Saccharomyces cerevisiae S288C: one gene and its partner. The protein of the gene in region 1 interacts with the protein of each later gene in a pairwise test. Each region holds a gene or a part of one and is shown in the gene's direction. Other genes may lie near its edges.

What was found.
Region 2: the proteins of DRN1 (region 1) and DBR1 interact in a two-hybrid assay, tested with the Saccharomyces cerevisiae proteins (one study listed by BioGRID).

What each region holds. Positions count from the first base shown.
Region 1 is NC_001139.9:668,197-672,536, forward strand, and holds DRN1 (Drn1p), read left to right. Parts: upstream 1-2,191; coding exon 2,192-3,715; downstream 3,716-4,340. Other genes in the region: serine/threonine-protein kinase DBF2, read left to right, coding at 1-1,711; VAS1 (valine--tRNA ligase), read left to right, coding at 3,990-4,340. UniProt on the Saccharomyces cerevisiae protein: Involved in branched RNA metabolism, modulating the turnover of lariat-intron pre-mRNAs by the lariat-debranching enzyme DBR1. Enhances the debranching activity of DBR1 in vitro.
Region 2 is NC_001143.9:166,881-170,686, reverse strand, and holds DBR1 (RNA lariat debranching enzyme), read left to right. Parts: upstream 1-1,857; coding exon 1,858-3,075; downstream 3,076-3,806. Other genes in the region: succinate dehydrogenase flavoprotein subunit SDH1, read left to right, coding at 1-1,480; MCR1 (cytochrome-b5 reductase), read right to left, coding at 3,235-3,806. UniProt on the Saccharomyces cerevisiae protein: Cleaves the 2'-5' phosphodiester linkage at the branch point of lariat intron pre-mRNAs after splicing and converts them into linear molecules that are subsequently degraded, thereby facilitating ribonucleotide turnover.

The sequences.
Region 1 (4,340 bases):
AAAATCAGAAAAAAATGTCGACCTCTTGGCAGGCAATATGAGCAATTTGAGTTTCGATGGGCATGGGACTCCTGGGGGCACTGGACTATTTCCTAACCAAAATATAACAAAGAGGAGGACAAGGCCTGCGGGTATCAATGATTCACCTTCGCCGGTAAAACCATCCTTTTTTCCTTACGAAGATACTTCCAACATGGACATAGACGAAGTATCTCAACCTGATATGGATGTCTCGAACTCTCCCAAGAAGCTTCCACCAAAGTTTTACGAAAGAGCAACTTCAAATAAAACACAGAGAGTTGTTAGTGTTTGCAAAATGTACTTTCTAGAACATTACTGTGATATGTTTGACTATGTAATTAGTAGAAGACAACGCACGAAGCAAGTTCTAGAATACCTGCAACAGCAAAGCCAACTTCCGAATTCTGACCAGATTAAACTCAACGAAGAGTGGTCCTCTTACTTACAAAGGGAACATCAGGTTTTGAGAAAAAGAAGGTTGAAACCAAAAAATAGGGATTTTGAAATGATCACACAAGTAGGTCAAGGTGGTTATGGGCAAGTTTATTTAGCCAGAAAGAAAGACACAAAAGAGGTGTGTGCTTTGAAAATTTTGAACAAAAAACTATTGTTTAAGCTCAACGAGACAAAACACGTTTTAACTGAAAGAGATATCCTAACCACGACAAGGTCTGAATGGTTAGTAAAACTTCTGTATGCATTCCAAGACCTACAAAGTTTATACCTGGCTATGGAATTTGTACCAGGCGGTGATTTTCGTACATTATTAATAAATACTAGATGCTTGAAAAGTGGCCATGCGAGATTTTACATCAGTGAAATGTTTTGCGCTGTTAATGCGTTACATGATTTAGGCTATACACATAGAGATTTAAAGCCGGAAAACTTCTTAATCGATGCCAAGGGACATATAAAATTAACAGATTTTGGTTTGGCTGCTGGTACGATTTCTAATGAAAGAATTGAAAGTATGAAGATAAGGTTAGAAAAAATCAAGGACCTGGAATTTCCAGCGTTTACAGAGAAATCTATAGAAGATAGAAGAAAAATGTACAACCAGTTGAGGGAGAAGGAAATTAATTATGCGAACTCCATGGTTGGGTCTCCGGATTATATGGCTTTGGAGGTTTTAGAAGGAAAGAAATATGACTTTACTGTGGATTACTGGTCGTTGGGTTGTATGCTGTTCGAAAGTTTAGTTGGTTATACACCATTTAGTGGATCATCGACTAATGAGACCTATGACAACTTAAGGCGCTGGAAACAAACTTTAAGAAGACCGAGACAATCTGATGGGAGGGCAGCATTCTCCGATAGAACTTGGGATTTAATAACAAGATTGATTGCCGATCCAATCAATCGATTAAGATCCTTCGAACATGTTAAACGCATGTCTTATTTTGCAGATATAAACTTTAGTACTTTGAGGTCAATGATCCCGCCTTTTACACCCCAACTAGACAGCGAAACTGATGCCGGTTATTTTGATGACTTCACCAGTGAGGCTGACATGGCCAAATATGCTGATGTTTTCAAAAGACAAGACAAATTAACGGCTATGGTAGATGACTCGGCAGTATCATCAAAACTTGTTGGGTTCACTTTCCGACATAGAAATGGTAAACAGGGTTCCAGTGGCATCTTATTCAACGGACTGGAACACTCAGACCCCTTTTCAACCTTTTACTAGCGTAAAAATGAATTCTTGTCTTGCATTCGCCGCGATATAATTAGCTTTAACGAGCTTCATGCAAACTTTTCAACTAGCACCTATGAACGCTTTTTTCATAAATATACATATATATATATATAGTTGTGCATTACTTAGGACTTCAAGCCCATTGTTTAAAATCTCAGTTCACGGTAACGGTCCATCCCATGACCGTTTTGAACTAAACTTAAGCATTCATGTTGGGAGCGGCGAAACTTGGTAATGTTTTACAGGAAAACAGCAATGACCACTATTAATCGAAAATCTGCAAAAAATGAAAAGGAATGGGTGTTAACATCAATTGTTTTTTCAATGATAATTACAAATTGGACTGATACTACATTGCTAGATGTACAAAAAACGCAAGGTAGCTCTCTTAGAAGGATCCATAATATATAAAAAAGGGCTTATGGTTTACTGATATCTTTTTCACTTCAAAAACTTACATATAAAAATAGGATGACAAATGCAAAGATTTTAGTAGCTCATATAAGTGAAAGCGATGCCGATGAGGCTATCAGAAAGATCAAGAAAGTGAATGAAAAATCAGGGCCCTTTGATCTAATAATTATATTCAGTAACTCGTATGATGAAAATTTTGAGCTGAATACTGATGGGTTACCTCAACTAATACTACTATCGTGTGATAAGGCTAACAATTCGAAATCCAAAAAGATAAATGAAAATGTAACATTGCTGCATAATATGGGTACTTATAAATTAGCAAATGGAATCACTCTTTCATATTTTATTTATCCGGATGATACTCTTCAAGGGGAGAAAAAAAGCATACTGGACGAATTTGGCAAAAGTGAGGATCAGGTAGACATTCTCCTTACAAAAGAATGGGGCCTTTCGATCTCTGAGAGATGTGGAAGGTTGTCTGGAAGTGAAGTTGTTGATGAATTGGCGAAAAAGTTACAAGCAAGGTACCATTTTGCCTTTTCAGATGAAATAAACTTTTACGAATTAGAGCCTTTCCAGTGGGAAAGAGAGCGCTTATCGAGGTTCCTCAATATTCCAAAATATGGATCTGGAAAGAAATGGGCCTATGCATTCAATATGCCAATAGGGGACAACGAACTAAAGGATGAACCTGAACCGCCCAACTTGATAGCTAACCCGTATAATAGCGTGGTTACAAACAGCAATAAAAGGCCACTAGAAACAGAAACAGAGAATTCGTTCGATGGAGACAAACAGGTACTTGCTAATAGAGAAAAGAATGAAAATAAAAAAATTCGAACGATTTTGCCGTCAAGTTGTCATTTCTGCTTTTCAAATCCAAACCTCGAGGATCATATGATAATATCAATCGGCAAACTAGTGTATTTAACCACAGCGAAGGGACCTTTAAGTGTTCCTAAGGGTGATATGGATATCTCAGGCCATTGCCTCATTATTCCCATTGAACATATTCCGAAATTAGATCCAAGCAAGAACGCAGAGTTGACACAGAGTATTTTGGCTTATGAAGCTAGTCTTGTGAAGATGAACTACATAAAATTTGATATGTGCACGATTGTCTTCGAAATACAGTCTGAACGTTCTATTCATTTCCACAAACAAGTTATTCCCGTTCCAAAATACCTCGTTCTAAAGTTCTGCAGTGCCTTAGATAGACAGGTTCATTTCAATAACGAAAAATTCACAAGAAATGCTAAGCTAGAGTTCCAATGTTACGATTCACACTCTTCCAAACAATATGTGGATGTAATTAACAACCAATCCAATAATTATTTACAATTTACCGTCTACGAGACTCCTGAAGCGGACCCAAAGATATATTTGGCCACATTTAATGCCAGTGAGACAATAGATCTGCAGTTTGGACGACGTGTACTAGCCTTTTTACTTAACTTGCCACGCAGGGTGAAATGGAATTCTTCAACCTGTTTACAAACTAAGCAACAAGAGACTATAGAGGCTGAAAAGTTTCAAAAGGCCTACAGGACCTATGACATTTCTCTCACAGAAAACTAAACTAAAACTATTTCATTTAGAATTTCAAATATATCCAAATATATGTATATATATGTAGAATACTAAGTCATGCTACCTCTGAACGTTTAAGAGACCTAGCAACTCAGAGGTGATGAATTAAAAGAAAAACCGGGTAAAGTTCTTCGAGAGACCGCGCTGAAAAAATTTTTTTAGAAGAGTCACCCATACAGCCTACTGGTGTTCTCTGTGTGTGCTACCACTGGCTGTCATCGTTGTTGTATGTCCTTCAGATTTATGGAATTACTTAGATGGTATGAATAAGTGGTTAAACACATTATCTAAGACATTCACTTTTCGGCTTTTGAACTGTCATTATAGGCGATCATTACCACTTTGTCAAAACTTTTCTCTGAAGAAGTCGTTAACTCATAATCAAGTCAGGTTCTTTAAAATGAGCGATCTTGATAATTTGCCTCCAGTTGACCCAAAGACTGGTGAGGTCATCATTAATCCGTTAAAGGAAGATGGCTCTCCAAAGACTCCTAAGGAAATTGAAAAAGAGAAGAAAAAGGCTGAAAAACTGTTAAAGTTCGCTGCCAAACAAGCTAAAAAAAATGCTGCTGCCACCACAGGTGCATCTCAAAAGAAACCTAAGAAAAAGAAG
Region 2 (3,806 bases), on another chromosome or scaffold:
TGTTCCTTTTTCAAGAACTGAAAACGGTAAGATCTACCAAAGAGCCTTTGGTGGTCAGACCAAGGAGTACGGTAAGGGTGCTCAGGCCTATAGAACATGCGCTGTCGCAGACAGGACAGGACATGCTCTTTTACACACGCTTTATGGCCAAGCTTTAAGACATGACACACATTTCTTTATTGAGTACTTTGCCCTCGATCTGTTGACCCATAATGGCGAGGTCGTTGGTGTCATCGCTTATAATCAGGAAGACGGTACCATCCACAGATTCAGAGCACACAAGACCATTATTGCCACTGGTGGCTATGGTAGAGCATACTTCTCTTGTACCTCTGCTCACACATGTACGGGTGACGGTAATGCCATGGTTTCGCGTGCTGGTTTCCCCTTGCAAGATTTAGAGTTTGTTCAATTCCATCCTTCAGGTATATATGGGTCTGGTTGCTTAATCACTGAAGGTGCTCGTGGTGAAGGTGGTTTTTTGGTTAATTCTGAAGGTGAAAGATTCATGGAACGTTACGCTCCTACGGCCAAGGATCTAGCTTGTAGAGATGTCGTTTCCAGAGCAATCACCATGGAGATCAGAGAAGGCAGAGGTGTTGGTAAGAAAAAGGACCACATGTACTTACAATTGAGCCATCTACCTCCGGAAGTTCTAAAGGAAAGATTGCCAGGTATCTCTGAAACAGCAGCCATTTTTGCTGGTGTAGACGTCACCAAGGAACCTATTCCCATTATTCCTACCGTCCACTATAACATGGGTGGTATTCCCACGAAGTGGAATGGTGAGGCATTAACCATTGATGAAGAAACTGGCGAAGACAAGGTTATTCCCGGTTTAATGGCTTGTGGTGAAGCCGCTTGTGTTTCTGTCCATGGTGCCAATAGATTAGGTGCCAATTCCTTGTTGGATCTTGTTGTCTTTGGTCGTGCTGTTGCCCATACGGTTGCTGACACTTTACAGCCTGGGTTGCCACACAAACCACTACCTTCTGATTTGGGTAAAGAATCCATCGCAAACTTGGATAAACTAAGAAATGCTAATGGTTCAAGATCTACGGCAGAAATTAGAATGAATATGAAACAAACTATGCAAAAGGATGTTTCCGTCTTTAGAACACAATCATCTTTAGATGAAGGTGTTCGGAACATTACTGCAGTAGAGAAGACCTTTGATGATGTGAAGACGACCGATAGATCAATGATCTGGAATTCTGACTTGGTTGAAACTCTGGAGCTACAGAACTTATTAACCTGTGCCTCCCAAACAGCTGTTTCCGCTGCTAATAGAAAGGAATCCCGTGGTGCTCATGCAAGAGAGGATTATCCAAATAGAGATGACGAACATTGGATGAAGCATACATTATCCTGGCAAAAGGACGTCGCTGCCCCAGTGACTTTGAAATACAGAAGGGTTATCGATCACACTTTGGACGAAAAGGAATGTCCTTCCGTACCTCCAACTGTAAGAGCCTACTAATTTGAACCTCATTGTATTTTACGGAAAAGAATATCATACTCTTCTTTAATTGCACTTTTTTTGTGCGTTTGCACTTTTTTACCACTGACTCACTAATTTGTATATATACCTATTAATATACATTTACATAAAGTTTCTTCTTATACATACTCTATTTATTTAGTTATTTATTAACTTACTATTTATTTATTTATTTATTTATTTATTTATTACTTTCAATTTTTTATCGAGGCATTTCCTTAGTTCTCCAATTTTTTTTCTCATTAGCCAGATGTGTGTTTTTCTGGCCCTCACAAAAAATGAGCAGGAGAAAGTCATATGGCGAACGTAAATATGTAACTAAAAATTAAGATGGGCAGACATTTATCATTTTGCTTATGACTAAATTGCGAATTGCTGTACAAGGGTGCTGTCATGGTCAGCTAAACCAAATTTATAAAGAAGTGTCACGAATCCATGCGAAGACTCCCATCGATCTATTAATTATTCTTGGAGATTTTCAAAGTATTCGTGATGGTCAGGATTTTAAGTCAATAGCCATACCACCAAAATATCAAAGACTCGGTGATTTCATATCATACTACAATAATGAGATTGAAGCCCCAGTCCCTACTATTTTTATTGGCGGTAATCATGAATCGATGAGACATTTAATGCTTCTGCCACATGGTGGTTATGTAGCAAAGAACATTTTTTATATGGGATACTCTAACGTTATATGGTTTAAAGGCATAAGGATAGGTTCATTGAGCGGGATATGGAAAGAGTGGGATTTCAATAAGCAACGACCAGATTGGAATGACCTAGAAAATAACAATTGGAAAGCTAACATAAGAAATCTGTATCATGTAAGAATTTCTGATATTGCTCCTCTTTTTATGATCAAGCATCGTATTGATATTATGCTGAGCCACGATTGGCCCAATGGAGTCGTTTATCATGGCGATACTAAGCACTTGTTGAAGCTTAAGCCTTTTTTTGAGCAAGATATTAAAGAGGGAAAACTAGGCAGCCCAGTGACCTGGCAACTACTAAGAGATTTGCGGCCTCAATGGTGGTTGAGCGCCCATTTGCATGTCAGGTTCATGGCCTCCATTAAGCATAATAAAAGAAGCCACGAACCGCCTAATAAGTCAACTTCAAAGACAAAAAAAAACAATAATGAAATAGATTTGGATTTATCCAGTGACGAGGACGAAAGGTCTGGTATTATGAATTGCCAAGAAGAGAATGAGTATGATTCCAAATACGGCGAGACACGGTTCTTGGCGTTGGACAAGTGCCTGCCAAGAAGACGTTGGTTAGAAATTCTGGAAATAGAACCGGATACATCGCATGCTTCGTGGAAGGACGAGAATCACCGTATGTTCTGGGATCCTGAATTTATCAATAATTTGGTAATTTGTCAAAAAAATAAGAATCTCCTAAGCAATAAACCGTTTAATAGCGTCAATTGGATAGAACTGTCTCAATCTAATAGAGAGGAAGGAAGGGATATTGATTGGGAAAATTATGCCATTCCTGCATACACCTTAGATATTCAGAAAGATGAAGTACGACAAACTAAAGCATTTATCTCTAAATTCATGACTTGAGAGATATTTCTATTACGAATGCAGACGGAATTAGAGCTTAAAGCCAAGCCTTCTTGAGAGAATTTTTAGTCATACACATGAATATATATATATTTTTTATATATTTACTAATTTGAACGATCCGAAATTAAAAAAAATATCAATTACTTTCCTCCATGCTTAAAATTTGAAAACTTGGTCCTTGGAGTAGCCCAAATTGTTCAAGATACCGATCAATTCACCTTGGTCCTTAGGTGACTTCTTCTCACCTGAGTAAGCGTTCATAAATGGTGGGGGACCGCAGACAAACAAATGTGTGCTTTCCTTTGGACCTGGAACATGCTCCTGAATAAAATCTTTGGAGATGAAACTAATTTCACCATCAAAGTCTTGGTCATCTTGCTTGTCGTCAACAAAGTAAGTAACATTGAACTTGTCAGGATACTTTTCCTTCAACGCATCCAGTTCCTTCCTTAGTAAAATGTCCTGAGGAGTCTTGTTCCCATATAGCAAGTTAACTTTGGTCTTGTCGTTTGGGTTTTCAACTATATGATGAGCTAATTGGTACAGAGGGTTGATACCGGTACCGGCACCTAACAAGGTGATTGACTTGAACTGATTAGGTTGCCACTTCCATTTCATAATAGGACCCTTGAAAGAAACGGTGTCATTTGGTTTAAGACCAAATAAATGTGAGGTCATTTTACCACCTTCATAATGCTTGACGACCAGCTGGAAGTGACCCTTCTGGG